Linked DNA regions of Kluyveromyces lactis. The protein of the gene in region 5 purifies or fractionates together with the protein of the main gene of each other region. This does not show direct contact. Links are inferred from orthologs where the notes say so. Each region holds a gene or a part of one and is shown on either strand. Other genes may lie near its edges. The genes, in order: ERB1, DBP6, RSA3, CBF5, MAK21, UTP20 and DBP9.

The links.
Region 1: the proteins of MAK21 (region 5) and ERB1 purify together in Saccharomyces cerevisiae (affinity purification with mass spectrometry, with the first as the bait; 5 studies listed by BioGRID). This does not show direct contact. The link is inferred for Kluyveromyces lactis from reciprocal best matches to the Saccharomyces cerevisiae genes MAK21 and ERB1.
Region 2: the proteins of MAK21 (region 5) and DBP6 purify together in Saccharomyces cerevisiae (affinity purification with western blotting; 3 studies listed by BioGRID, with this or other methods). This does not show direct contact. The link is inferred for Kluyveromyces lactis from reciprocal best matches to the Saccharomyces cerevisiae genes MAK21 and DBP6.
Region 3: the proteins of MAK21 (region 5) and RSA3 purify together in Saccharomyces cerevisiae (affinity purification with mass spectrometry; 4 studies listed by BioGRID, with this or other methods). This does not show direct contact. The link is inferred for Kluyveromyces lactis from reciprocal best matches to the Saccharomyces cerevisiae genes MAK21 and RSA3.
Region 4: the proteins of MAK21 (region 5) and CBF5 purify together in Saccharomyces cerevisiae (affinity purification with mass spectrometry; 3 studies listed by BioGRID). This does not show direct contact. The link is inferred for Kluyveromyces lactis from reciprocal best matches to the Saccharomyces cerevisiae genes MAK21 and CBF5.
Region 6: the proteins of MAK21 (region 5) and UTP20 purify together in Saccharomyces cerevisiae (affinity purification with mass spectrometry, with the first as the bait; 3 studies listed by BioGRID). This does not show direct contact. The link is inferred for Kluyveromyces lactis from reciprocal best matches to the Saccharomyces cerevisiae genes MAK21 and UTP20.
Region 7: the proteins of MAK21 (region 5) and DBP9 purify together in Saccharomyces cerevisiae (affinity purification with mass spectrometry, with the first as the bait; 4 studies listed by BioGRID). This does not show direct contact. The link is inferred for Kluyveromyces lactis from reciprocal best matches to the Saccharomyces cerevisiae genes MAK21 and DBP9.

What each region holds. Positions count from the first base shown.
Region 1 is NC_006042.1:2,460,601-2,464,675, reverse strand, and holds ERB1 (ribosome biogenesis protein ERB1), read right to left. Parts: upstream 2,801-4,075; coding exon 425-2,800; downstream 1-424. Other genes in the region: CSM3 (Csm3p), read left to right, coding at 1-298; KLLA0_F26587g (L-methionine (R)-S-oxide reductase), read right to left, coding at 4,004-4,075.
Region 2 is NC_006042.1:665,470-669,202, forward strand, and holds DBP6 (putative ATP-dependent RNA helicase DBP6), read right to left. Parts: upstream 2,394-3,733; coding exon 501-2,393; downstream 1-500. Other genes in the region: SRB8 (Srb8p), read right to left, coding at 1-169; RSM19 (mitochondrial 37S ribosomal protein uS19m), read left to right, coding at 2,661-2,936; type 2C protein phosphatase PTC6, read right to left, coding at 3,232-3,733. UniProt on the Saccharomyces cerevisiae protein: ATP-binding RNA helicase involved in the biogenesis of 60S ribosomal subunits and is required for the normal formation of 25S and 5.8S rRNAs.
Region 3 is NC_006042.1:1,225,808-1,228,073, forward strand, and holds RSA3 (Rsa3p), read left to right. Parts: upstream 1-1,154; coding exon 1,155-1,766; downstream 1,767-2,266. Other genes in the region: U3 snoRNA-associated protein UTP13, read left to right, coding at 1-815; CCC1 (Ccc1p), read right to left, coding at 2,021-2,266. UniProt on the Saccharomyces cerevisiae protein: Required for efficient biogenesis of the 60S ribosomal subunit.
Region 4 is NC_006040.1:408,122-411,229, reverse strand, and holds CBF5 (pseudouridine synthase CBF5), read right to left. Parts: upstream 1,926-3,108; coding exon 501-1,925; downstream 1-500. Other genes in the region: KLLA0_D04774g (uncharacterized protein), read right to left, coding at 2,384-3,108. UniProt on the Saccharomyces cerevisiae protein: Catalytic subunit of H/ACA small nucleolar ribonucleoprotein (H/ACA snoRNP) complex, which catalyzes pseudouridylation of rRNA. This involves the isomerization of uridine such that the ribose is subsequently attached to C5, instead of the normal N1.
Region 5 is NC_006041.1:1,108,069-1,112,278, reverse strand, and holds the start of MAK21 (RNA-binding ribosome biosynthesis protein MAK21), read left to right. Parts: upstream 1-1,410; coding exon 1,411-4,210.
Region 6 is NC_006041.1:1,547,840-1,551,863, forward strand, and holds the start of UTP20 (Utp20p), read right to left. Parts: upstream 2,801-4,024; coding exon 1-2,800. Other genes in the region: KLLA0_E17447g (resistance to Congo red protein), read left to right, coding at 3,782-4,024. UniProt on the Saccharomyces cerevisiae protein: Involved in nucleolar processing of pre-18S ribosomal RNA and ribosome assembly.
Region 7 is NC_006039.1:416,717-420,136, forward strand, and holds DBP9 (ATP-dependent DNA/RNA helicase), read right to left. Parts: upstream 2,286-3,420; coding exon 501-2,285; downstream 1-500. Other genes in the region: PEX8 (Pex8p), read left to right, coding at 1-440; cleavage polyadenylation factor subunit YSH1, read right to left, coding at 2,875-3,420.

The DNA.
Region 1 (4,075 bases), on a different chromosome or scaffold from region 5:
TATCAGCCTAGACAAAGACAAAAATCAGAATAATGACGGCAACTATGACGATGATGATGATGATGATGATGATGATGATGTTCTATATTCTTCGCATCACCAGCGGCACACGAATGAAATGTTGTCCACCACTGATACAAACATACGGCAACATACACAAAATGGCTACGCTCTGCCTAACGCTGAAGAGTTAGACGAATTGAGTAAAATTACGACCGTTGCCAGCACAACAAATAACGGTAATGATATCGCATCAGATGAGGAAATGGCAATGATGAGAGACATGGATACCTTTTGAGCTCTGATCCAAAGATAATAATGTATTCCCTTGAACACTAATTAGAAAGTATCTACTTGTAATATTGATAGGTAATGATGTCCATAGTATACAGTGTTTTACAAATATCCCGTCATGAGGGTTCTATCAGGTAGTCCACAAACGAGCGGTTTTGTCGGCACCTGCAGAGAATAGCCAAGCTTCACGTGGATGCCATATAGTATCTAGAACACCTAAACTATTCACAATCTTGTGGCCGGTTAGTTTCTTCAACGGGACGATCATAGGGTTCTTCATTAAATCGTCATAGACCGTGGCATGGAAAACATGGATGTTACCATCATCCGCAGCTGAGCAAAACAGTGGTAGTTTCTTGTGGAAACTTACGCTTCTTACAGCCTTCTCATGGTATCTCAAGGTCTTATATGGAGTGCTTGCAAGGTCAAGATCATGCCACAACACTCTCTTGTCAAACGAGGATGCAATTAAGTTATCACCTCTTGGGTGAATATCAATAGTAGATAACCAACGAGCACCAGGTAGAAGTTTCTTGATTAGCACTTGTTGCGATAGGTCATAAATTCTGACGTATCTTTGAGAACAGACCAAGAGCTGTGGCTTGAATGGATGGAATTTTGCATCCATAATGATACCCTTAGATTTTTTGAATGGCGATTGAGTTAAATGCTTGGATAATTGATGAATCAAAACTGATGTATTACCTGAGTCTGGTTGAACAGTGACAAAGTAATCACCTTTTCTATGCCATGAAAGCTTTTTCACTGATTTACGACAAGTTATTACGATACAAATATCATTGGCAGCTTGCCTTTCGGTTGGTTTATTCCATTGAGCAACCTGTTTCTTGACAGCATGTGATTCAGCACCGTCATCCTCATCATCGCTATTCACATTGAGATTACTCTTTTTGACGTTTCCGAAAGTATCGAAACCAAAACCGTATTCAATCTTTGATTTACCTGTGTTTTCAATTTCAAAGCCGAAAATTGGTGGAACAAGCAAGAAGATGTTTTCGCCAGCAGTAACCGCAAGGATACCGGTAGTACTGTCGGGATTCCATTCAACAACGTCTATGTGGTCATCATTGTTTTCTTCCGCATTAAGTATTGTGACTTGGTAAACTTCTCTACCTGTAAGAATTTCCCATACTCTGACAGTGCCATCATCGGAACCAGTAGCCAACCATAATCCAGTTGGATCAATGGACATTGTACGAATTTTTCCTTTATGACCGACATAAACGGTAGAGCAACGGATTGGAAATGGTCTCAAATCTTTTGTAGAGGGCAATTCTGGGATCAAAGATTCAGGATCAATGTTCAACTTATTTTTGCGAACACGAGGCGCTAAATACAAATCTAATGATCTTTCAAACCTTTCTCTGACAGATTCAGAGTAACCTGGAACTTTTCTTAATGCAGCGAATTTGTGAGGCACAAAATTTCTCTCTCTTTCACTTGGTTCCATCTTTTCCCATGCATCAATTTCCTCTGGGGTCAAAAGATACTCTTCCGGAGGGTTGTAAGACTCCTCATTTGTTGGTGGTGGCAATTTTGGGGCTCTCAAGTTCATAACATGTTCAGAGATTTCTTCGGCATCTCCCCAGAGATCGTAGTTATGACTGTCTTGTTCTTCTTTTTCTCTTAATTCCTTTAGTTTCTTTGGTGGGATAATTCTACCTTCTCTGATTGCTTTGACTATTTTCATCACACGCTTGGCTTCGTGCTTTGACGGAACGAAACGTCTTTTCGGTTCTGGGACGGCCGTAACTGGCATTACAGATTCGTGTCTAGTGAACCAGTCGATTAAAGGTTCGTATGGATTCACAGATTCGTCCGTCTGTTGATTATTTTGCAACTTATTGATTAATTCAAGTTCTTCTTCGGTCAAATTCAAAGAGGCACCGCTGTCTTTGTCTAGTAAACCTGTCCAACCCTCTGGCAATTCTATAGATTCCAATAATTGATCTAAAGCAGATCCTTTGGCTGGTCTCATTATTCTCTTACCATTAATGTCATAACCAATATGTGGCATTTCATCATATGCAGATAGTGGGATGTTACCAATTGTGTTCTTAGCTTCTGCATCACTATCATCACTATCATAAACAGGATTAATTTCTGACTTAAGAATTCTTGGTCTTCCATCTGAATACTTGGTACGAACAATGCCTTCATCGCTTGTTTCTGGAATCACTGTTAACTTTACATTTGACAATTTGTCGGTAATGGAAAAAGCATCGCCTTCTTCAGAAAAATCTGAAGTATTATACTCCTCCTCCTGTCCATTTTCTTCTTCAGCTAATAAGCGATTGAATTCAGCATCAGAGTCGTCATCTTCAGCTTCCTCAGCTTCATTTTCGCTAGCCTCTTCATCGATTAAACCATCAACTTCAATTCTTTCATCTTCAGAATCGGACAATTCAGATTCCTCGAGAACTCTCTTTTTTACAACAAGCTCCGCTGATTCAGAACCATTCAAAGAAGAATTCTTTCTGGCCATAGTTTCTGGTATTGTTTTCTGGCTCTCTATACTTTCAGAGCTTCTTCTGATGCCGTTAACTTTGAGAAGTACTGGTTATCTCTGTGGTCTATTCACTTCAGCTCATCTCATCTCATCTCTCAAGATGAAAATTGAAAATTTTAAGAAACAAAAAGAAAGAAAATTACGATACATTAATTACTTCTACAAAGTTTTGAACAAGAATGCTATTTTGAAAAAGTCAAAGTACCCTTCAGCAAAGATAGGGAACTGGTATTCAATCAACTCCACATATACTTCTACTTACGTTGAAGATATTTACTTTGGTCGCTAGCCTACAATGAATGTAATTCTTAACTCTTATTTTTTTTGCATCATAGACAGTTATCTTAGTTTTATTCTAGTAGATGCAACATCGTTTTCAAGTTTGTAATTTCATCATTGAAGAAGCTATTTCCAGTAAACTTCATTATTCCAATTTGGGGCGCTGATAAGAGAGACCTATTTCGTTTCTTCAGAAACTCTTAACGATGTAACATATACTCATGTAGTTCTCTCAGATCTTGTTGTGATATGCCTTGGATGATAGTTGATTGATTAATCGCCTGATGAGGGATCGTTGATATCAAACAATATAACGAATATAATATAATAATCTATTTAGTTAGATCGTTGAGTATATGCGTCCAACCTCCCCAAGAGGTCGCAACATAGCTCAGCCTTTTATACTCGACTTATATACTCGGATGGTCGTCAGACTTCGTCATGGCAACTCATTGCCTCCATGCCCTTGTAGGTCCTCTGCAGCTACCGTCCTCCACGCGCACTCAAGACCATCACGTGACCGTCTATGATCCATCTAGGCCATCCCTTCTGGATACCACAGGATCCATATGCCCAGTCACTGACGTCTTGGAACTCTGCCGTGTGCTGGCTAGCTCACATGACCTCTCGTCTGGCTTGTCTTCAGTCTATATTACGACAGACCTCACAAGATGGTTTCGTGGTCTAGTCGGTTATGGCATCTGCTTAACACGCAGAACGTCCCCAGTTCGATCCTGGGCGAAATCATTTTTTTCATTGAAAACTAGAAAACTTCTGTTCCACTGGACCTGGGGCAGCATGCCCTATGTTAGGTATGCAATAACAGGCAACTTCATATACGGTCAAGAGTTGTGATATCAATTGAGAGAATATAATTAACGAGTGTAACTACTTAATGAGTTAGAATACGCATGTCTTTGAAACTGAAGCGGCCAATTTTTCTAGAAATTCTTGGTCAAGCTTAGTAAACCC
Region 2 (3,733 bases), on a different chromosome or scaffold from region 5:
AGTTTACCCTAGAAGCAGTATAGTAGCCTTTTGCCACGAACTCTTTAAGTATCTTATCCTCCTCTTTGGTGTGAATCCACGGATCAAAATCAGGATAGATTTGTGGGTTGGAGTCGGTGAGCGGATGTAATTCCTCCGGAGGAGTTAGTAAATATTTTGACGGTGACATCAGAAGTATCTAGCGGTTATTCTCTGACTACTTATATGTGTTAACAAGCACTAGTTAAGACAGTTTAACCTGCCTAAGGTACTTTGAAGGTTTATAGTGTTTCAGTGATTCTGAACGATCAATCACATATCAATTTAAGGTAAAGAAAGTTCTAAAGTGGAGGAAAAACACTGCTCGAACAATAAATAACATGTCACATGATCAACTCATCAGAAGAGGCAAAATAGATAGTAAGTATAAGATCATTAGTGCCTTCTCAAATATCACTTAGACGAGCCCCAAGAATGGGGTACAGTTACTATGATCTTTTTACTTATTTAGTGATAATATGCTATTTACTGTCTGCTTCTTTGCTGGTTTGGAGTTGTTTGATACAACCCTTGTACGTATCCTTCAAAGTGTCTTCAATAGAGAATAATTCAGACAACTTTTCTTCGTCAAGGTAAGCAGATGGTTGATAACCATCAATGTCACGACTGAGGTCAGTGTCAATATGTTGTGACCAGAATTTCTGTTCACCCTTACCAACTAGAAGGTTAATTGCTATACCCTCAGTATTAGCCCTTGCAGTTCTACCACAACGATGAACATATTGTTGAGAGGAGATCGGTAGATCATAGTTTATCACATGAGTAATTTCATTTATATCGATACCTCTAGCCATTATGTCCGTTGAAATTAAAACTGATTTCTTTTGTTCTGAGGATGCAAATTCCTGTATTAGTTTTCTGCTACTACCCTTCGAGATGTTCGAATGAATTGATGAAAGGAACATATTATACTCATCTTCAATTATTCCTGATCCTAACATGGCATGTAATAAGCTTTCTAATCTGATCGAAGCTTCGTTACTCTTCACAAACACTAATATTTTAGCGTTTCTCGAAGCACTGCTCTTGATGTCGTGTATTATTCTTAGTAAGAGTAGTGGCTTGAACAGACTCTTAGCAGTAGGAATATTGACATTGAGTTCTTGCAATTTCTTAGGTATTGAATATAATTTAACAGAATCTGTGAGGAAGATCTTGGGGTTGTGGAGATACAAATTGTACAACTTTTCTGCATTCGTAGTCAAAGTAGCAGAAAAGACCATTTTGATTACGTTTCCTGGACGTTTATCCTGCTTATCGTTTGTCAAATGGTGGAAAAGCACTTGGTTCCAATTTTGGAATGACTGATTTAATAGTCGGTCTGCTTCATCAAGGACTAAGAACTTCAAAGTTTTTAGGTCAAATGATTCCATCTGCAAGTGATCGACCAGTCTGCCCGGAGTGATGATTAGAATGTCTGGAGAGTTATACAAAAATTTGTTGTGTTCTTCTTTCAAGGAGTTCTCGAGTTTCGACATTGATACATTGAGACTGGTCCCTTGACTTAGTTTAGAGAGACAATCGTAGACTTGATGAATTAAAATTTTAGTAGGAACCAAAATTATTGCCCTAACTTTATTCACTGTTCTAGATCTCAAAATTTGAACCAAAGGGACAGAATATGCTAAGGTCTTACCGGAACCAGTTGATGCGTTTACTAATATATCACCAACTCGTCTTGTGAAAAGTTTTCTGTTTGCTTTAAAAGATGAGTTTAGAAGCGGGAGCACTTTATCGAATAGAATGGTCTGAATAGGGAACGTTTCAGATGAGAAATTGGAGGTAATATTTTTAAGCAGACGTGCATCTAATTCACCTTCGTAGCTATCGAATTGTTTAACCATTTTACTATCGTAATGAATTTTGGTTGCTGCATCCCACGCAGTGGATTTATATGTAGACGGATCTAGAAGCTTCAAGGCTTCATTGGTCACTTTGGCCGGTTGAGGAATTGGGGTAAGACTGTGAACATCTTTCATGGATACGTCCTCATCGTGTACATCGTTGTCACTACTGACCTTGTCTGAAGCGCTCAACGCACCTTGCAGGGAAAGAGTCTGTTGAAATCTATTTAATACGGAACTGTGCTTTGCATCAACTGATTGCTGAGAAGTTTCTGTAGGCGCAACAGATGCAACCTTGTTTTCATCTTGCTCACTAATTGTATCGGAATCATCCTCACTGCTGGAAGCATCATCCTCACTGCTGGAAGCATCGTCCTCACCAGAGCCTTCATCATCAGTTTCCGCATCTCTTTTCCTCTTTTGGGGCACAGTGGGTTCTTTTATTTGTGTGACTTCAGCTGTTAGTACATTTTCAGTCACCTTAGTAGGATCAAACCTTGCAGCAAACATGTTATTGACTGGATGCTATCGTTATGCTGTCGCTATGCTGTTACTGACCTTCTAAATTCCTGAAGCTCATCGCATCATATTACATCTCATCGCCATTCGTCTATTATTTTATTTCAGAACGGAATTCATAAAAAATTTCAATCTGTAAAACTTGAAATAACGACAAGATATAATAGAGTTAAGTCACTACCATGATATCAGTCAGCCAAAGGTTCCAGCAGTTAGACAAATATCTCGCGTCTACGATAACACTCATAACGTCATAAAATGTTCCCGTCATTGAGATTACTATCACGTTCTGTATGGAAAGGTCCAAATATAGTCCCATTACCAATAAAAGAAGCATTGGCCAAAGGTACGCCCATTAGAACAAATGCCAGATCTGCCACCATATTACCTCAATTTGTCGGACTGAAATTCCAAGTGCATAATGGTAAGGAGTATGTCGCGTTTGAAGTGACAGAAGATATGGTAGGAAGTAAGCTAGGAGAATTCGTACCAACAAGAAAGAGATTCAGTTATACTCAAACTAAGAACAAATGATTTGACATTTATGAAAAGCACAAAGTTAGTCAGACAGCAGCATGTATATAAAATCACACCTGGAAGTTCATGTACCACCGTGTACTCCATACGTAACTGTATCTATTACTAAGAAATGATTTATTGAACAAGTGCTCTCGATTAATTGGGAGTTAATGGTGTTTCTCATTGTTAAATAGATGCAAATGTTAATCATAACGAGTACTATATATAATAATTGAAGTAAAATAGAATATACACTCTTTACTTGAGGTTTCTTTTGAATTTAATTTATGATTAAGTTTGTGGACTTTTTTCAACCACTAGATCTTTCTCCACCGGATACACCACTTAGTAGCTTTTCCTCTCTAATCGCACCAGTGCGATCAATGACAGGCCAATTTCCCCAGTTCGGTAACCGCAGAATTACGCAAGTAGCATTATCAGAATGTTTAGAGCTAATAGCCATAACATATTGTAAAACTTCCTGAGCACAGAAGTGTGGAGAAGCAGTTTTCAAACCTCTATTGTTCACTGTGGAGGTGATGAGATCACAGAGTTCTTGATCGCTCATCAATTCAGTTACTCCGTCTGTCACTAAACATAAGAAACATTCATCACCACCGAACTGCAATTTTGATCTTTCAGCATGTGGTAACATTTTGGTTGGTCCAATGAGGTACGAATAAATGTCCGGCTCGCACGTTAGACCATCACGTTTTCCGATCCGATCGCCAAAGGATCGTGTATTTGCAAAATTGTTCAAAAATCTAGTATCACCGAAGGAGTCAGTTTGGAATTGACCTCCAAGTCTTCTG
Region 3 (2,266 bases), on a different chromosome or scaffold from region 5:
CATTCTGTCAATATGACAAGTTATTGGCCACATGTTCCGGTGACAAGACCATCAAAATTTGGTCCTTAGAATCATATGCCGTCGTAAAAACTTTGGAAGGACATACCAATGCAGTTCAAAGATGTTCCTTCATAAACAAGAACAAGCAACTGATAAGTACTGGTGCTGATGGTTTAGTTATTATTTGGGATCTATCAACTGGTGAATCGGTCAAGACACTAGATGCTCACAATAACCGTATCTGGGCTCTTGCTGTTATGAACGATGGTGAATCCTTCGTTACAGCAGATGCTGACGGCTTCTTTGAGTTCTGGAGGGATAACAGTGAAGAGGAACACGAACGTAACCTCGAGCAAGAGAAACTGAAGATTGAACAAGAACAATCATTACAAAATTATCTCTCAGAAGGTGACTGGACTAACGCATTTTTGCTTGCCATGACCTTGGATCACCCAATGAGATTGTACAACGTCTTAAGACAAAGTGTAGACAACTCAAATGAGGATCCAAATGTAGTTTTCAACAACGAAATTGACGAGGTTGTGTCGACTCTAGATAAAGATCAACTTCTTCTTTTAGTGAAAAGGTGCAGAGATTGGAATACAAATGCAAGAACACACACAGTAGCCCAAAAGATGATAAGGTGTATTCTTCTAAGACAAAATATTGAAGAGTTGAGCGAAATTCCTGGGCTTGTAAGGATCGTTGAATCAATAATCTCATACGCAGAGAGACATTACTCAAGAATGGATAACTTGGTTCAAGAAAGTTATATCTTAGATTACGCTTTAGTTCAAATGGACAAATTGCTATAAAGAATGTAAATATAGCACTAGTCGTCATGTAGATATATACATATAACAGTACAACACACCCACCGCATCAACTCTGAATAGATACCATATCCAGTCAAGGGCCATCCATCAGTAGAATAATAAGTTTGTTACCCGGCTTTGAGTTTTAGACAGAATTTGTTTCCCTGCAAAAGAAACTTCATCAAATAACTAGACGATGTGAAGCGATGAGATGAGATGAGATGAGATCGGCTCTCATCCTTCTTCTGTTAAAAGGTGACTTCAACTGTGAATTTTTGACAGTTATACTTTAAAGTTAACTCTCCTCCATATTAACGAGAAGCTCTATCGGAAACTATCATGTCAGAGGGACATATTGCAGCTATTAGCAAGACGAACAAGAGGAAGAACAGAAGAAAGAAGAGAAGAACGCAAGACGTGTCCGACTCAAGTTCTGATTCCAGCTCCGATTCTGAAAATTCATCGGTAGAAGATAATGATACTAAGCTCGAAACTGTGGAGAAAGCTGCATCTGATGTTGAAGATGTAACGCTTTCAGATATTGACATGGATAAAGAAGAAGATGAAGCTGCATTGGACGATAAAAAAGCCAGCCGAAAAGAGGGAAGCGTCTTGTCCTCGGAGACTGTGGACAAATTAAATAAAGTGGGACTAACAACAAGCGATTTAACTGGCAACAATGGCATTCATCTAGGGAATATCGATTTGAATAAGATGTCTGCTACGTTAGATGAAAGCAGCAATAAATTGCTAGAGAATAATAAGGACAAGAACGGATTAAAGAATCAATATTTGAGTATGCTATTTGAGAGTTATGGTGATGACATGAACGAATTGAGAAACGCACCAGATTTCACTTCGAAGACCCTTGTCATGCTAGCGAATGTTCTAAAAGACGGAGGAGATATGTTTGATTTGGAGACCTTGAAGACAATAGTAGAGGATAAATAGTGTTTGGATCTATCTAGCATTTTAAAAACACATGTATAATAAAATAAAAATACAAACCATCTATCACGATACAGCTAGAATGAATCAAATAAAGTCTGGACGGCAAATTGATGATTTGGAGTAAGATATGAATACGTATTGGAATGATAAAAAAAAAAGTACGTGATACTAGGGAACGCTTAAAAGAAGAAGTAAAATAAATAAGAGATGATGAGGATGATTATGATTAATTAATTTTGTTTTATTTGTGACTCTCATTCGATGACCTTAACGAAGAACCAAGCTGCACCTGCAGCAGTCCCACCGACTGCTATCATTTGTAAGCCTTCCAGTAACTTTTTCTGCAGGGTACAATCGTTCATTGAGACTTGGGATTTGAAATATCCGAACCAGAACAACGTGAAAGTCATTAATGCAATAGAGATCAGGAGACCGGTTCCCACCGTTTCAACAAAGAAATATGGTATTAACGGGACGAACCCACCGGCAAAGTATCCTCC
Region 4 (3,108 bases), on a different chromosome or scaffold from region 5:
ATGATTGTTAATACTGGTAAAGTAAGAAACGGGACGTTTCATTGTGACACCTCGACTTCTGTTCACAATGTAACCATTTGCATAGATTTTAACCTTCATTTACCTTTTTATTGAGCAAATGACATCATGCAAATAAAAGACATACCAATCTGCAAGTTTCCCGACTTCTATTTGGTTCCGAACAATTGATGTCTGCCAAAAAAAAAAAAACTCCAAGTATTATTATCAAATCTTCTATCTACCTCATACATTTACCATTACTTTTTGCCATTACTTCAATTGAAGACGTAATGGTGTCTTCACACGCGCATAAATAATTTACAAATTTATATATACGAATACAATGATATACAACATCGACACAGGGTACAAAAAACAGTCGTGACGAAATACGTTTTTCAATGATTAAAAATATTCTACAGTGTACATAACCTAAATGATAAACTCTATGCAGTTTTGAAATTTCGATCGATGATATGAAGGACTTAGATTGTAGTCGTTTATTTCTTTGACTTCTTCTTCTTCTTCTCGGAAGACTCATCATCGTCAGCCTTTCTCTTCTTCTCCTTCTTCTCCTTCTTTTCCTTTTTCTCCTTCTTGTCCTTCTTCTCCTTCTTTTCCTTCTTGTCCTTCTTTTCTTCTGGTGTCTTTGATTCTTCCTTTGATTCTTCCTTCTGTTCGACTTCCTTCTTTTCTACTTCTTTGATCAGTGGTTTTTCTTCTGATTTGGATGCAGGGGCGGTAGTTGGTTCAGCATTCTCCAATGAAACGTAAGTCTTCTTCCAGGTCTCTGGAGTATTTTCGTTGGCACGGCCATATTTGTCTAGCTTACCGTCAGCCTTCATTTGTTTTTTCTTTTGGGCAATTGGACCAAGACCCCATCTTCTTGGATATAGGTCTCTTTCCATGATACATCTCTTAACCTTGGCAACAACTCCGTGGTCACAAGTAGCTAAATCGACAGTAGACATTTGAGCAATGGCAACTGCAATGGCCTCACCCTTGGTGGTGATTAATACAACTTCGTCATATAATTCAATACCTTCCTCATAACGAAGTAGACCTGGAATCATCAACTTGGCACCGTAACAAACAGCGTTAACAGCAGAATCTTTGACAACAATTCTTTTGTAACCGACTAATAGAGTTTCTAATGGTTGAATGATCTTTCTTAGGTAGGATTCATCCCTGGTGTTATCGTATACCCATTGTGCATCCATAACATCATGTAGGGTGACCAAGTTATCGTTTTCGGACAAAGCACCGGATCTAACACGACGCAACTCTTGCATATGGCCACCGACACCTAAAAGCATACCAAGATGGACACATAAAGTTCTCATATAAGTACCAGCTTCACAGGAAGCCCAGAAAACACCCAAGTTCCTCTTGTTGTCAAATTCGATCAAGTTGGAGTCATAAATGGTACGGACACGTAATTGACGCTTAACAGCAGAAATTAAAGGAGGTCTTTGGAACAAAGCACCAGTCAAATTTTCTAAACCTCTGCCCAATTCCTTCTCGTCCTTAAGGGCATCGTGCAATCTAACGATACAAACATACTCTTTACCAGCACCTTGTTGAGACTTGACCAATCTGGTAGCTCTGTCAACACAGACGATCAAACAACCAGTGACTTTAGGATCTAAAGTACCAGAATGACCTGTTTTTTCGCAACGCAAGATACGCTTGATCCAAGCAACAACTTCGTGAGAAGATGGGTTTGAAGGTTTGTCCAAATTGATGACACCAGAACTGATATATGACTTCAAATCTCTCTTCAAAGGAGAGGCACCAGCTGGAATTGGTGTGTAATGACCACTTCTGACTAATAGTTTGTCATAGTCCTTCAACAATAAAGGCCACTCACTAGTGTTACTAGATGGTGAAACACTCTCTGGCTTAATAACAAATTCGTCAGACATCGATCTCTATCTTACTTATTAGCTTTCTAACGAACAATCCAGTACACTATCTCCTTCAAATATCGAGAGAAAACAATAAAAGGATAGTAGCAACAATATCGTAAAGCAGAATCTACACTAAAGTGACAGTTTTTAGTCCAGTAAGATGAATCTACTTCTAATAGAACTCTATACTTTTCTTGTTAAAGCTCATCTCATCTCATCGTCTTCATCAAATTTTTTTCTTCAGGTAGAAAATTTTCAGATATCTCAAAAAGCAATTATTTCCGGGTAATGAATTATATTCACCTTGACGTTTAAGTATATATGACAGACATTGGAAATAGCATTGCCAAGTGAGAGTAGTTTTTATAGCCTTCTAGGAAGTGAGTTTGCATTTTTATTTAATGGACTAAACTAGCTGCTAATATGTTCATTATGTTAGGTTAAATTCTGTTAACTTAGTACGCTGTTTTCATTCAGATAGATTCCAAGTACTTGGCGTTATAGTTGTTCTTCAAAGCGCTAGCCCAGTTCCTAGTGGATAACTGTGCGATATTTGAAGTTGAATAATCTGTCTCAATTCCAGTTGAAAATATGGAATCTTCTTTGTCTGGCGATAGCTCTGATGTGTTTTGGTTTTGCTTCCACTCTCGGAGCTTTTGTATAATTTGTTTAGCGTTGTGTTTCGACCTTGAGGAACAGTTGCTATTCACATTGGCTACTTTAAGCTCACGGAGTGAATCATTAAAACCTTGTTTTTGTTCTGATATGTAGTGTAACTCTTCGTTTCTATTGTCTTTATTTTCTATGCCATCACTAACACTTGTAATGGTGATCGCAGGTTTGTATTCTGGTTTGGGCTTGTTGGAGACCATATTGTCTCTGATATTTTGGAACATATCTCTTTTCTTCATAAAATAATTCAAAGTCCGGTTTGTAGACCCGAATCTATCCACATTATTGCTGTATATGGCACTAAGCGCAGATTCTGCTTTAAGAGTAACTTTTAAGGCACTACTTAAAGTTTTCTCGTAATTAGTCCTGTAGCTTTGTAGTTCATTATGATACATGTCAGCATTTTTATCTATTTCACGTTTCATCGCTAACAACCTTTTTTGAAACTTCTCATTGAAAAATGCAAGGTCTTCCTTCTTCTTTTTGATAACCTCGTCATGTTTTGACTTTAAAACTATGTTTTCAT
Region 5 (4,210 bases):
GTTCTAATGATAGAAAAAAGCAGCATGAGATTCGAAGTAACTCTTCAATTTTTCATGGCATCGTATGCTCGGTCTCTCGTTCACACACCATCCATCCTTTCACTCCTTTCCCCGGTGTGTGTTTGTCGTCATCTACCTATATTGGATTTATGACTCTGTAATAGAAAAAGGCAAAGAAACGTCACAAAACATCATAGCATCGCTACAGCATTCGATGGAAAATCCAGAATTAGCTTGAACGGACAGCTTAAGAAGCTTTATCTTCCCCGTCAATTGCCATCATTGTTCCCATATCATAAGGATCAGCTTTATCATCTTATTACTTTTATCACGCCATTATTACCATTAGCACTCTATTTTTATTTTCATTTCAGTGAAATGATGATGAAAATCAGAAAAAACACAAAGACAAATGCCATTGCAGTTATTTTTTTATACGTTTCCTTTGTCCATTCATTAGGATACCAATTGTCATTGTCTTACGAATATATAGATATTCTTCGCTATCGCTACTTAGAAAGAAAATCTCGTTTGTCTTATTCAACTTTTGAAATGTACAAGTTTGAGTTATTTTTAGGCAGGTCAATGGGTTCGTATCTATGACCCTAATGTCCCTCTAAAACTACACCTTGTATTTCGAGGTAATCAACTCGACTTGAACCTCTTCTCTTGTATGCACAATGAAAAGAAGAAGAAGTATAGTAGAAGTATTCCTTTACCAAGAGTTGTTCTCAATACGTAACTTACCTTGTTCACCTCGAGCTGGTGCATCTGAAACCATGAGTTTCCAATCAATTCATGCAAATGCACGTCTATTTCTGCCCCAAGAATGTATATGTATGTGTGTCAATGCTTATTGATGCATGCACCATTGGCAACTAATGGCACCATTGGCTTCCACCATGCACGTCGTTTGTGCGGGTAATGGCGAGGTCCCAAAAAACATTCTTTAATTGGGATTGATTCCAGTAAAGAAATTCCAATGCAGAGAGGCGGATACTTGAGGGAAGTACATACATTGTGCAACTTTTGATTCAACTTACTTTCACGCTTTACCTACTCCTGAGCATGTCCATTGGCTCGTAACGCTCTCGGCAAACCATGTGACAAGCAGATTCCCCGCTTCTTGGTCTCACTACTACATAGAATGCTTTTGTAAATACTAAACGAGAGAGACAAACTCATTACCCGGATAATCGTTAATCACGTGATGAAAAGAAACGACAAAAATTTTCTACCTTTACACCAAAATCAAGCTCATCTCATCTCATCTCATCTCATCTCATCTCAACTCTTATTATGCGCTCAGACTGTGTTTGTTGATATACACAGAGGCCACTTCTCTGTTTGTCGTTTGATTGATCTATTGCTTGGAAAGAAGCAACACTCGATAACAAGTGCAAATCTGGAATGAGTCTTGATTTATCCAAATTGAAGGAGAAAGTGTCCTCCAAATTGGGAGCTTCAAAGGCCAAAGACACTAAGCCTAAGAAGAGTAAGAAGCAGGGCGAAAAAGAGACAGACGTTACTCCAGCTAAAGAGGAAACTGCTGTCACCAATGAAGAATTGATCCGTGAAGCTCTGTCTCTTGGAGCCTCTGAAAAAGATGTCCAGCTTGTTGATGGTGTTGACGACGATGCCAGTGAGATTGAATTCAATGAAGCCGATGAAGAAGTTGATGACGAGTTTAAGAGCGATTTCAGTGCTTTATTGAAGAATATGGGATTCGATAAACTACCTGAACCTGAAGTTGTAGAAGAACCAACAGTTACTGAGGATGCAGGCAAAGAAGAGAAAGATATTGAAGAGGAGGAGGTAGAAGTTGAAGAAGAAGAAGAAGAAGAGACGGTAGAGAAAGAGGAGGAACCACTTAGTCCTAAACCAGCAGAAAAAAAAAAGGAAGATCAATCCGACATGATCACTCAAACTCATATTGTTCAAAGTGATAAATTACTTGTTCCATCAGATTTGTTGTGGTACGAAGTTCCTTTGGACCCTGAATTAACAAGAGAACAGGATCCGCTAACGAAAGAACAGATAGATAAGTTATACCAGCGTGGTAAAGAGGCCTTAGAATTAGATAACACTAATTACTACGAAGAATTTACCAAGAACTCATCTCAACGTAAGTTTATGTCCCAGATCTTAAGCGATGGTACGTTGAACGATAAAATTAGTGCTTTGACTTTATTGCTACAGGAATCTCCATTGCATAATATCAAATCTCTTGATTCTTTGATATCCTTTTGCGGGAAGAAGTCAAGAAATTCCGCATTACAAGCTTTGAATGCTCTGAAGGATTTGTTCTTAAATGGTCTGTTACCTGACCGCAAGTTAAAATACTTCAAGAACCAAAACCTTTCCATGCTACTGAATAAGAGAACTTTAGCTATTTTATATTTTGAGGATTACTTGAAGGGTCTATATTTCAAGATTTTGGAAATCTTTGAGAAATTATCCCATGATCCTATCATCTATGTCAGAATGCAAGTGCTAACACATATCTTTGACCTGCTAACAGCCAAACCAGAACAGGAATTCAACTTGTTGAAACTTGGTGTTAACAAATTAGGTGACATTGATAACAAAGTAGCGTCAAAGGCTTCCTTCAAACTTTTGAAACTTGAAACTCAACATCCAAATATGAAATCAATTGTGGTAGACGCTGTTGTCGATATTGCCATAAGGCCTCAAGCTGACTATCATACTACATACTATTCCGCATTGACACTTAATCAAACAATTTTGAAACGCTCCGAGAAGAATCTAGCAAATCAGCTAATCAAGACCTATTTCACTTTATTCGAGAAATTCTTAATCCAAACTGATGCTGATAACGAGGAATCAAAGAGTGAAATCAAGGAATCCGATAAGTCATATGAAAAGAAGAGAAAGAAGAACTTCAAGAAGGGTAAAAAGGGTGGTAAGTCTGTCATTGAAGAAAAAAGTGCTCAAGAAGTTATCGAGGAAAAAAATACCAAATTATTCGGTGCTATTCTAACTGGTTTGAATCGTGCTTTCCCATTCTCTGATATGCCGGGATCCGTGTACGAGATACATCTTGATACATTGTTCAAGATAACACATGCGTCTAATTTCAACACTTCAATTCAAGCATTAGTATTGATTCACCAGGTTGTCGTGAAGACAAACATCACAAGTGATAGATATTACAAGACATTATACGAATCCCTACTCGACCCAAGATTGGTGTCGTCATCGAAGCAAGGTATTTACTTAAACTTGCTTTACAAATCTTTGAAAGATGATAAAGACATTGGAAGAGTGGATGCTTTCGTAAAACGTATATTGCAAGTCTGTGCCCATTGGTTGAACATCGGTGCCATTAGTGGTATGTTCTTTTTGTTGATACAACTTTCAAAGAGTTTACCGCAGATCAGAAATGTTCTAATCAACTCACCACTAGACTCTGTTTACGAATCTGATGACGAAGATTCCAGGGATAAAACTAAGGAAAAACCTGGTTACGATAGCCGTAAACGTGATCCAAAATATGCCAACGCTGAAAATTCATCGCTTTGGGAGATAAATCAATTCTTGTCCCATTTCCATCCTACTGTGCAGTCGTACGCACAAGGGTTCTTCGACGGTGACACTCAAGAAACAAGAGAGTTAGTCAAACCCGATCTTGGCCTATTCACGTTAGCCCATTTCTTGGATAGATTCGTGTACCGTAACGCCAAGCAAAAGCCAACCACTAGAGGTTCATCTATCATGCAACCTTTGGGAGGTGTACACACTGGTTCGTTATTAGTGAAGGCCAGCGATACCACATTGCACGAAGTACCTGCTAACACGGAGAACTGGTTAAGTAAGAAGGTGCAAGATATCAAGCCAGATGAAAAGTTCTTCTATCAATATTTCTCTACAAAGACTAATGCCATCAAATCTACCAAGTCAGGTGCAGAGGATGAAAACGGTACAGCTGAATTCGACGAGGAAAGCGATTTGGACGAAGATGAAATTTGGGATGCTTTAGTGAAGTCAAGACCTGACGTCGAAGGTGACGAAGAGGACAGCGATGTTGAGTTCAGTGAGGACGATTTCTCACAGGATGATTTCGGATCGTCATCCGAAGATGTCGATATTGATCTCAAAGACCTTGCATCTTCGGGAGACGAAGATGAGGCATCAGAAGCTGATCTTGAAGCTGAAGAAGGTGAACCAGAAGACATCAGTGACTTCGATC
Region 6 (4,024 bases), about 440 kb from region 5:
AGAGAATTCTCACAATATAACCCATAACAGCTTCTTCATCTTGCTTTTGGATAGTTTTGGTGTCATCGGTTGCTAAAAACTTGGTAATTTCATCTTTAAATAAAGTGTCATCCAATAAGTTCTTCAAGTTTTCTCTGTACTTGGTTATATGAGATTCCTTGTAACAAAACAACGCATCTAAAGCTAATTTTTGAACTTCTGTAGTTCTGCTGCTCAAAAGTGCCATTAACCTATCGTGCACTTCCTCTGATTTGTAAATGGATTTGATATTTTTGAATTTGCCAACGAGCTTTAATAAAAGGTTTCTATCACTTTCAGTCCATTGTGATGCTGTTGGAATTAGTACATCCATACTTGGTTGATCTTCTGTGATAAAAATTTCTTCAGATTCTTCTTCATTAAATAAAAAAGGAACTATGTCCCTTGAATGACGCTCTGCCAAACTAGGAATCGACAATAAAACTTTGAATATCTGACTTCTAATCAATGATGGATATACCATAGAATTCCTTCTTTCCTCCAAAACATCCAATATAGTTGAATCGCTAGCAGAGTATTTTTTAAATACTTTGTCAGAAGCAAGGATGGAGTCATTCATTCTATTGATACTAACGGTCCAGAATGGTTCTTGAAGGTCAATGTTATTGGAAATGCTATAATATTTGACGTCCTTTGTTTCATCAAGAACAGTGAGGAAACGCATAGCCAAACTCCACACAAGGGATTGGTTTTTGGTGTAAACTTCTGGAATTATTTCATAGATAGCTTCCCAAATTGGAGAGAATCTGACAGTTAGAAGCCCAAACATATGTTTGAAAAAGACATTAGTCAATAAATCCTCAGCTTCCATCTTGGCAAAGTCTGCACCTAGTTTCCTTACTCTGAGAGTAATGTCACGGCTTGTATGAAGATCCAGAGGGATTTCTTCCAAAATCCTTAGATCATAAAATAATTGGGGAACTGAGTTGCCTTGCTTTTCTAGAACAGATATTATAAACTTAAGGGTTTCGTAACGGATGGTTTTGTCCGGAAGTAATAGATTATCTGTTAATATGGGTAAAATCTTTGATAAAGATTTCAAAATATCAGTGTCGTCCTCCAAATATGATAAAACATGTGAAATACCTTCAATAAAATATCTACTGTTCTGTAGCTCTATAATTCTCGGAACTAGAATATTCAATAATTTTGCAGCCATGACCGACTCAGATGAAGTGATTTTAAATGTTAATGCTTGAAGTAGGAAACCAACAAAATCCTTTTCAAAATCCGATAACACATCCTTTTGGAAAACCCTCTCTAGCAAATGCATAATGATTTCCTCATCCTCTTGTTTCAATGTCTTTAATATTATAAGTTTCCAATACACAGAAAAAATTTCCTGTTCATCGTTTACATTAGCATCGCTGATATCCTTCAACAACTGGGTTGCGAATTCCGGTGCAGAGAGATGATTTACCAAGTCCAAATCTTGTGAAGATTCCGATTCTAAAAGGAACAATGCAATCTTCTGAGCACCATCTGCCCAGCAGTTATTAACGTATTTCTGCAAGTATTTCAACCCGTTGAAAGAAAGCACTTTACCCTTATCGATATCCATAGAAATCTTGAAGAATTCAATGAAATGAGCTGAGAATTTCGTCAAGTAGAGTTCGAACATGTATTTATGCAGAGAAGTTAGCGTTTTAACGTCAGCATTACGTAAGACGATGGCAAATGTAAACGACACTAGATCTGCATGTGATTCATTTAGACTATCATGTTGAGTGGCTTTACGTAGAACACCAGATAACTTTTCCCAACTTGGTACTTTTCTACCACTCTCGGCAAACGATAGCGTAGATAACATTCTCAACGTTTTACCAACAGCAGCACTAGATCCGTTCAAATTCTCGTCCAAGAATTCAAGGATCAAATCGTATAAACTCTGAATATTCTCCGCAGAAGTGTGTCTAGTGATATCTAGAATGATGTCACAAAGTAAAGAGACACATACTATGTCTGAATTTTTCTCGAATGCGATTTGCAGAAGAGTTTGGAATATTATATTTGATCTTGAATGCAATGCCTCGGAAGTACTCTTCAATGATTCACCAAATAAAGTTTGCAAACCGTCATAAAAATTATCATTCTTTAACAAGCACAATTTTTGGAACGAAAATGTGACAAAAGTGGCCAAATGTTTCTGTGGAGATTTCCTTATTAGAAACGATAGAGCCTCAGCGGAGAATCTGGAGAGGTATTCTTTCTTATGTGACAATAACGGAAATAAGAGGTCGAAAGTGGGCGTCAAATTCTGAGTCAAACTACGTGACAAATACTTGAAAATGTATGCCAAACAATTGAACCCCCATTCGAACACGTTTGAGTTTTCAAATTCAGTGGCAGCTTCCAATAAGTTAATCAAACATGTAACCGCCCTTTCATAAAATTTCATGAAATCAGGTCCCAAATCATGACAGAACTGAGCCAAGAGATCACACAACGGCTGTAAAGATCTCTCATCGTGTTTATCTATATATTGCTCCAAATTCGCAAAGATTTCATCCTCATGGTACAAAAGTTGAGGCAAAGTTTGAACCAATTTCTCTACCGAATCCATAAAGGATCCGAAATTCCCACTCAAATTGATATCCTTCCAGTGTTCAAAAGAGGATAGAAAATGGGAGGTCTCTACATCATCATGAACCCTTCTATCCAAATTTCTAGCAGGTTCAATCTTCAAATCATCAATCTTATCCTTGAAAGATGAGTATCTATACCTCTTGGTAGATTTCGTTGTAGTCTTTTGCTTACCCATGGTTGATTATTTTAAAATGGGAAACAGAACAAGACTAGTCCTCAATGTTATATCAATGTACTGAAGCAGGTCTTGTATGACTGGTGATTGACAGTTACTGTGTGTAGACCCTCTTGTGTTTGTTGTTTATGCGATGAGATGAGATGAGATGAGTTTTCATGCTTTTCCAAATTCTGAAAATTTTCCCTTTACCTAGAATGGAACGTGAAGAAATCCAGTTTCTTTTTACGCAGGGCCGATCTGGAGGACGACTACGGCCACAGGACTGACCGCCAGCACTGATCATTTATGAGGTGTTTTTAACGGGCCAGGAAGGTACGATAGTTGTGGGAGTACTAATAGTAGAACCGCTACAATATATAAGTTGAGAGTATCCAACCTAGAATCGCGAGGTAATGATAGAACTTCAACTAATAAGAAACTCCATCGTCTCATTATACAAAAATTGGTAAACATTATGTAGCGCAGAAGTAGTGCTGATTTTGGAACTCAACTTGGTTATATTTGAGGCTCTGCAACATTTTCTGGACATTCGTGGTAAAATAGGTATATCCTTTCTCTTAAATTTCCAGTATTTCTCTCCATCGGTCTCTTGATATATTATATATACTGATATATATTTGCATATGGGGAATAGTCGTTTTTAAATGAAATTTGTCATGATTCGCGATCAGATTTCCTCGCTACTCTTGCTGCAACAAGGATATGCCAGCAGGACTCCAGAGGGCAGTCGATAGGAGTTTGAAATCCAACCTGCACACGAAGCTATCGCTGAAAGGAGGATTTCCCACTGGATTTTTTGTTACAAGTCGCTTCTCGTCCCCTTTTTTGTCTGTTGATATACAAGACCTTCGATCAAAAGGATCGGAAAACAAAGAGGGCTAACCCAACACCAAGAGCAGGACTCCTGAACTTACTAATTGAATAAACAAGGGAAGTATATCTTTTCCGGGTTCTAATATTGCTCTTACTTCGCCTGCTATGTCAACCACAACTACATCTACGCCATCCAGTGTTGTCAGCGCTGTTCAAAGTGCTACCACTACATCTGCTGATATTGATAACAACTGCTGGGGTCTCTCGTGTTCCTCCCACTGGGAATGGGCACGGTGGGTAATATTCGTTATATTCATGTTCATCTTACTGGCATTTGTCATCACTACGATAAGAATAAACTATATAAGAAGGCGTAACGGACAACAACCACTTCGATACGTGTCATGG
Region 7 (3,420 bases), on a different chromosome or scaffold from region 5:
CAGATGTCACAAACTTTAAACTCAAAAGATTGAGGCTATACTTACATGATTGTTTCAGACAATGCAGTGCATCTTTAATGACAGAAAAACAATTAATTGTAATTTGGAAAAGCATACTTCCAACTATAAGATATCTTTCTAATTATGACAATGACTTAATCCGGGATCTAATTCATTCGACCTATATTAGAATAATCAACACTGAAAATTTACAAATGAAATCCACTAGCATACAATGTCTCATAGAACAATTCCACAATGTGCCTGATGAATACTTATGGGATTGGTTAGATGCATGTAACGAATTAGCCCGAACTCTTCCGCCTCTAATGAAAGAACATATCATTACTAAATTATGGGAGTATATATCACATTCTCACAATGAACTAGCAATTAGATGGTGGTATGATAGGATAGTTCCAAATTTATCAAGAATTTGATCTATACTTATATATTCCTAGTGCTAATGTTAAATAGGCTGGTCGTAATTAATTGAATATCTATTTGAAGCTTTTCAAAGGATCAGATTTACCCTTTCTTTGGACATTCCCCTTCTTCTTAACCACTCTTCCGTTCTTTCTATGCGAATTTTTGTGGAATGGAACGAAACCGATCTTCTTATTATCTTTCCTAGCAGTTTCTGGTAAAAGATAGTCCGGAACTCTTTTTAAATGCTGTTGTACACGAGCAGGATGTAACTCCTTGTCATGTCTCAAACTCTCTAAGTCATGAGGATTCTCTTCAAAATGTCTCTTTAGTTTCTCACTTGCCAAAAGTTCCTGTTTTAACTCCTTTATCCTTGCCTCTCTAATAGCAACCTGAGTTACTGCACGGAAACCGTCTTCCATTCTATAACGGAAACCTTCGACCTGTTTGATATCAAAGTTGTAAGGCTGTAGTTCAAAGCCTAATTTAGCCTGTTGTTTTATAATTCTGCCTAGTATCTTTTCATCCTTCTTAGCACTCTTGATCATAGATGGTTTATGCTTCCCGAATTCCTTCAAAGGAACAACAAAAGAAATAGAAATTCCTGACTTCCCTGCACGAGCTGTTCTACCAATTCTATGTACATACGATTTTGCAGTGGTTGGTAGATCAAAGTTTAATACACAGGCAACATTTTTGAAGTCCACACCGCGAGATACACCATATTCTTTGTCTTTCTCCACGTTTAGCTTTGGCTTCTTTTGTTTCTTTGCATTGTCTTTCGTAGTAACAGTGGAATCATCGACAACCTCAACTAAACCATCCTCAGTTTTTTCTGATTCTAAGTCTTCGTCTTCTTCTTTGATATATTCAGTATCGTCTGTAGCTATTAACAGTTGATAAACGTTCTTGTTGAATTCTTCTACGATATGCTGTCTTGAATTTGCTGGCAGTTCACTGTTCAAAATGCAAGATTTAATACCAAACTGTTCTAAAACTAGCTTTAGTCTGTATCCTCTATCGATATTGTTAACGAAGATTAATGTCTTACCCTTAATTAGTCCCAGTTTGAAAATCACATAACACAATAGGAACTTATCAAATTCTCCAACCTTCACATAATATTGAATAAGCTTTGTTTGATCTTTGTTGACTTCGTCGTCATTAAGTTTCAAAATCGCTGGTGAACGGCAGAATTGCTGCTTCAAGTGTTGGATATCGTCATTTAGAGTGGCACTCATCAAGAAAGTTTGTAAACTCTTTCTCAATGGTAAGCGTTCTGAAATCTTCGTAAGGTCCTCTTGGTATCCGAAAGTTAACACCAAATCAACTTCATCGATAACCAAGAACTTCAACCTGTCAATATTAACATCTTGCGCATCTAGTAAATCTACTAACTTGGCCGGCGTAGCTATCAATATTTCTGGATTTTCGGTAAGTAAAGATTTCAATAAGTTTCCCGATACATTACCCGATGAAAGATTTAAGCATTTAATTTCTTGAGAACAGAAAACAATGAGCTTTTCAACAACTTCTAAAACTTGCTGAGCCAATTCTCTAGTTGGGACCAATATTACCCCTAGAGTGGCACCTTCATCATTCTGATCTGCCTTCTTATGATCTAAAATTGTTTGAATCACTGGTATCAAATATGCTAAAGTTTTACCAGAGCCGGTACTAGCTTTCGCTATGATATCCCTTTTCTCTTGAAGAGCTAATGGTATCGCACTGGATTGGATCAAAGTAGGGTGTTTGAAGCCGATACTGCGGATGGCTTGTGATAAACGTGAATCCAAGTGGAACGAATCGAAAGAAGAAGAATCATCAATGTATCCCTGGGAAGCGCTTGTTTGAGCCATATTGAAGCGTTTTTCTGGACTCTAGCTCTCGTCGAACACTTTAACTATAACCTCGGTTGTAAGTTTCGATCAAAAGGTTAATGCTGCTGATAGTTGAGACCCATTTAGCCTGTTTTACAGCTCTTGTACGTTCAGACTCTGGATGAGATGAGATGAGCTTCCCAAAAATTTTCTTGAGGTGCAAAAAGAAACTACACAGGCAAAAGGATTTATGAGTCACGTGATTGAGTTATCTTGTCTCTTCTGGATTGGCAATGTGAATGAAATACCTCACTGTAGCTCTGATTTTGCCATGGTATTGGTAGATTGATTTAAAATTTACTGTTATAATGAGAATATATATATATATATCGCGTTTAGTAGTTTAGTAAATGGTTTTTTGTCCTCTTGGTGTCTTTTGTAACTTGTCGAAAACGATATGTTCATTCAGTTAATTGAAACTTGAATGCATCTTTAAAGTTTTAATAGATTATTTAGTACAGAGGAACACCTTGGCAAGATGGCAGTATAGGGTTGAAAAGTATATAGTTAATGCAAAAAGATGATTAATGACTAGCTCATATATAATCATATCTATATATGAGACAGATTAACACAATGGGGCCACCAAGTCGGAGCCAATTTTTAATAAACTCTCTATTCTACCTTTCAATGGATTAGAGTTACATTCTTCCACAACCATTTTTGAGAAGTTTATACATGCTGTTGTTTTTCCTAAGTTGATAGTGCCTTTTATTTCTTCTTTGGAGTCTTCCTCATTCAAAAATAATGTAAAAGTATCACCAAACTGTTCCTTGAAAACTCTCGATATGTTCTTAATTTTAGTCGTGTGATCATCGTGTCCATGATGATGTCCACATGACTTCGAACTCATTTTGATACTTGCTGGAGCGCTCTCGACACTCAGTAGAATTGCCATGACACTATCCGCGACTGAATCACTGATAACATTCTGAGTCCATTGCAATGTAGCTACATTGTCAACTATATTTAATATTACATCTCCCATGATTTTTATTTCTAGTTCACCCTTCTTTATCTTCCTCGTCTTGAATTCGGGATTGATGTTCTTCAATGAGACGTTTTCTTCGTCAATGTATACATCTACGTCACCAAACATTTGGCAGATATGCCA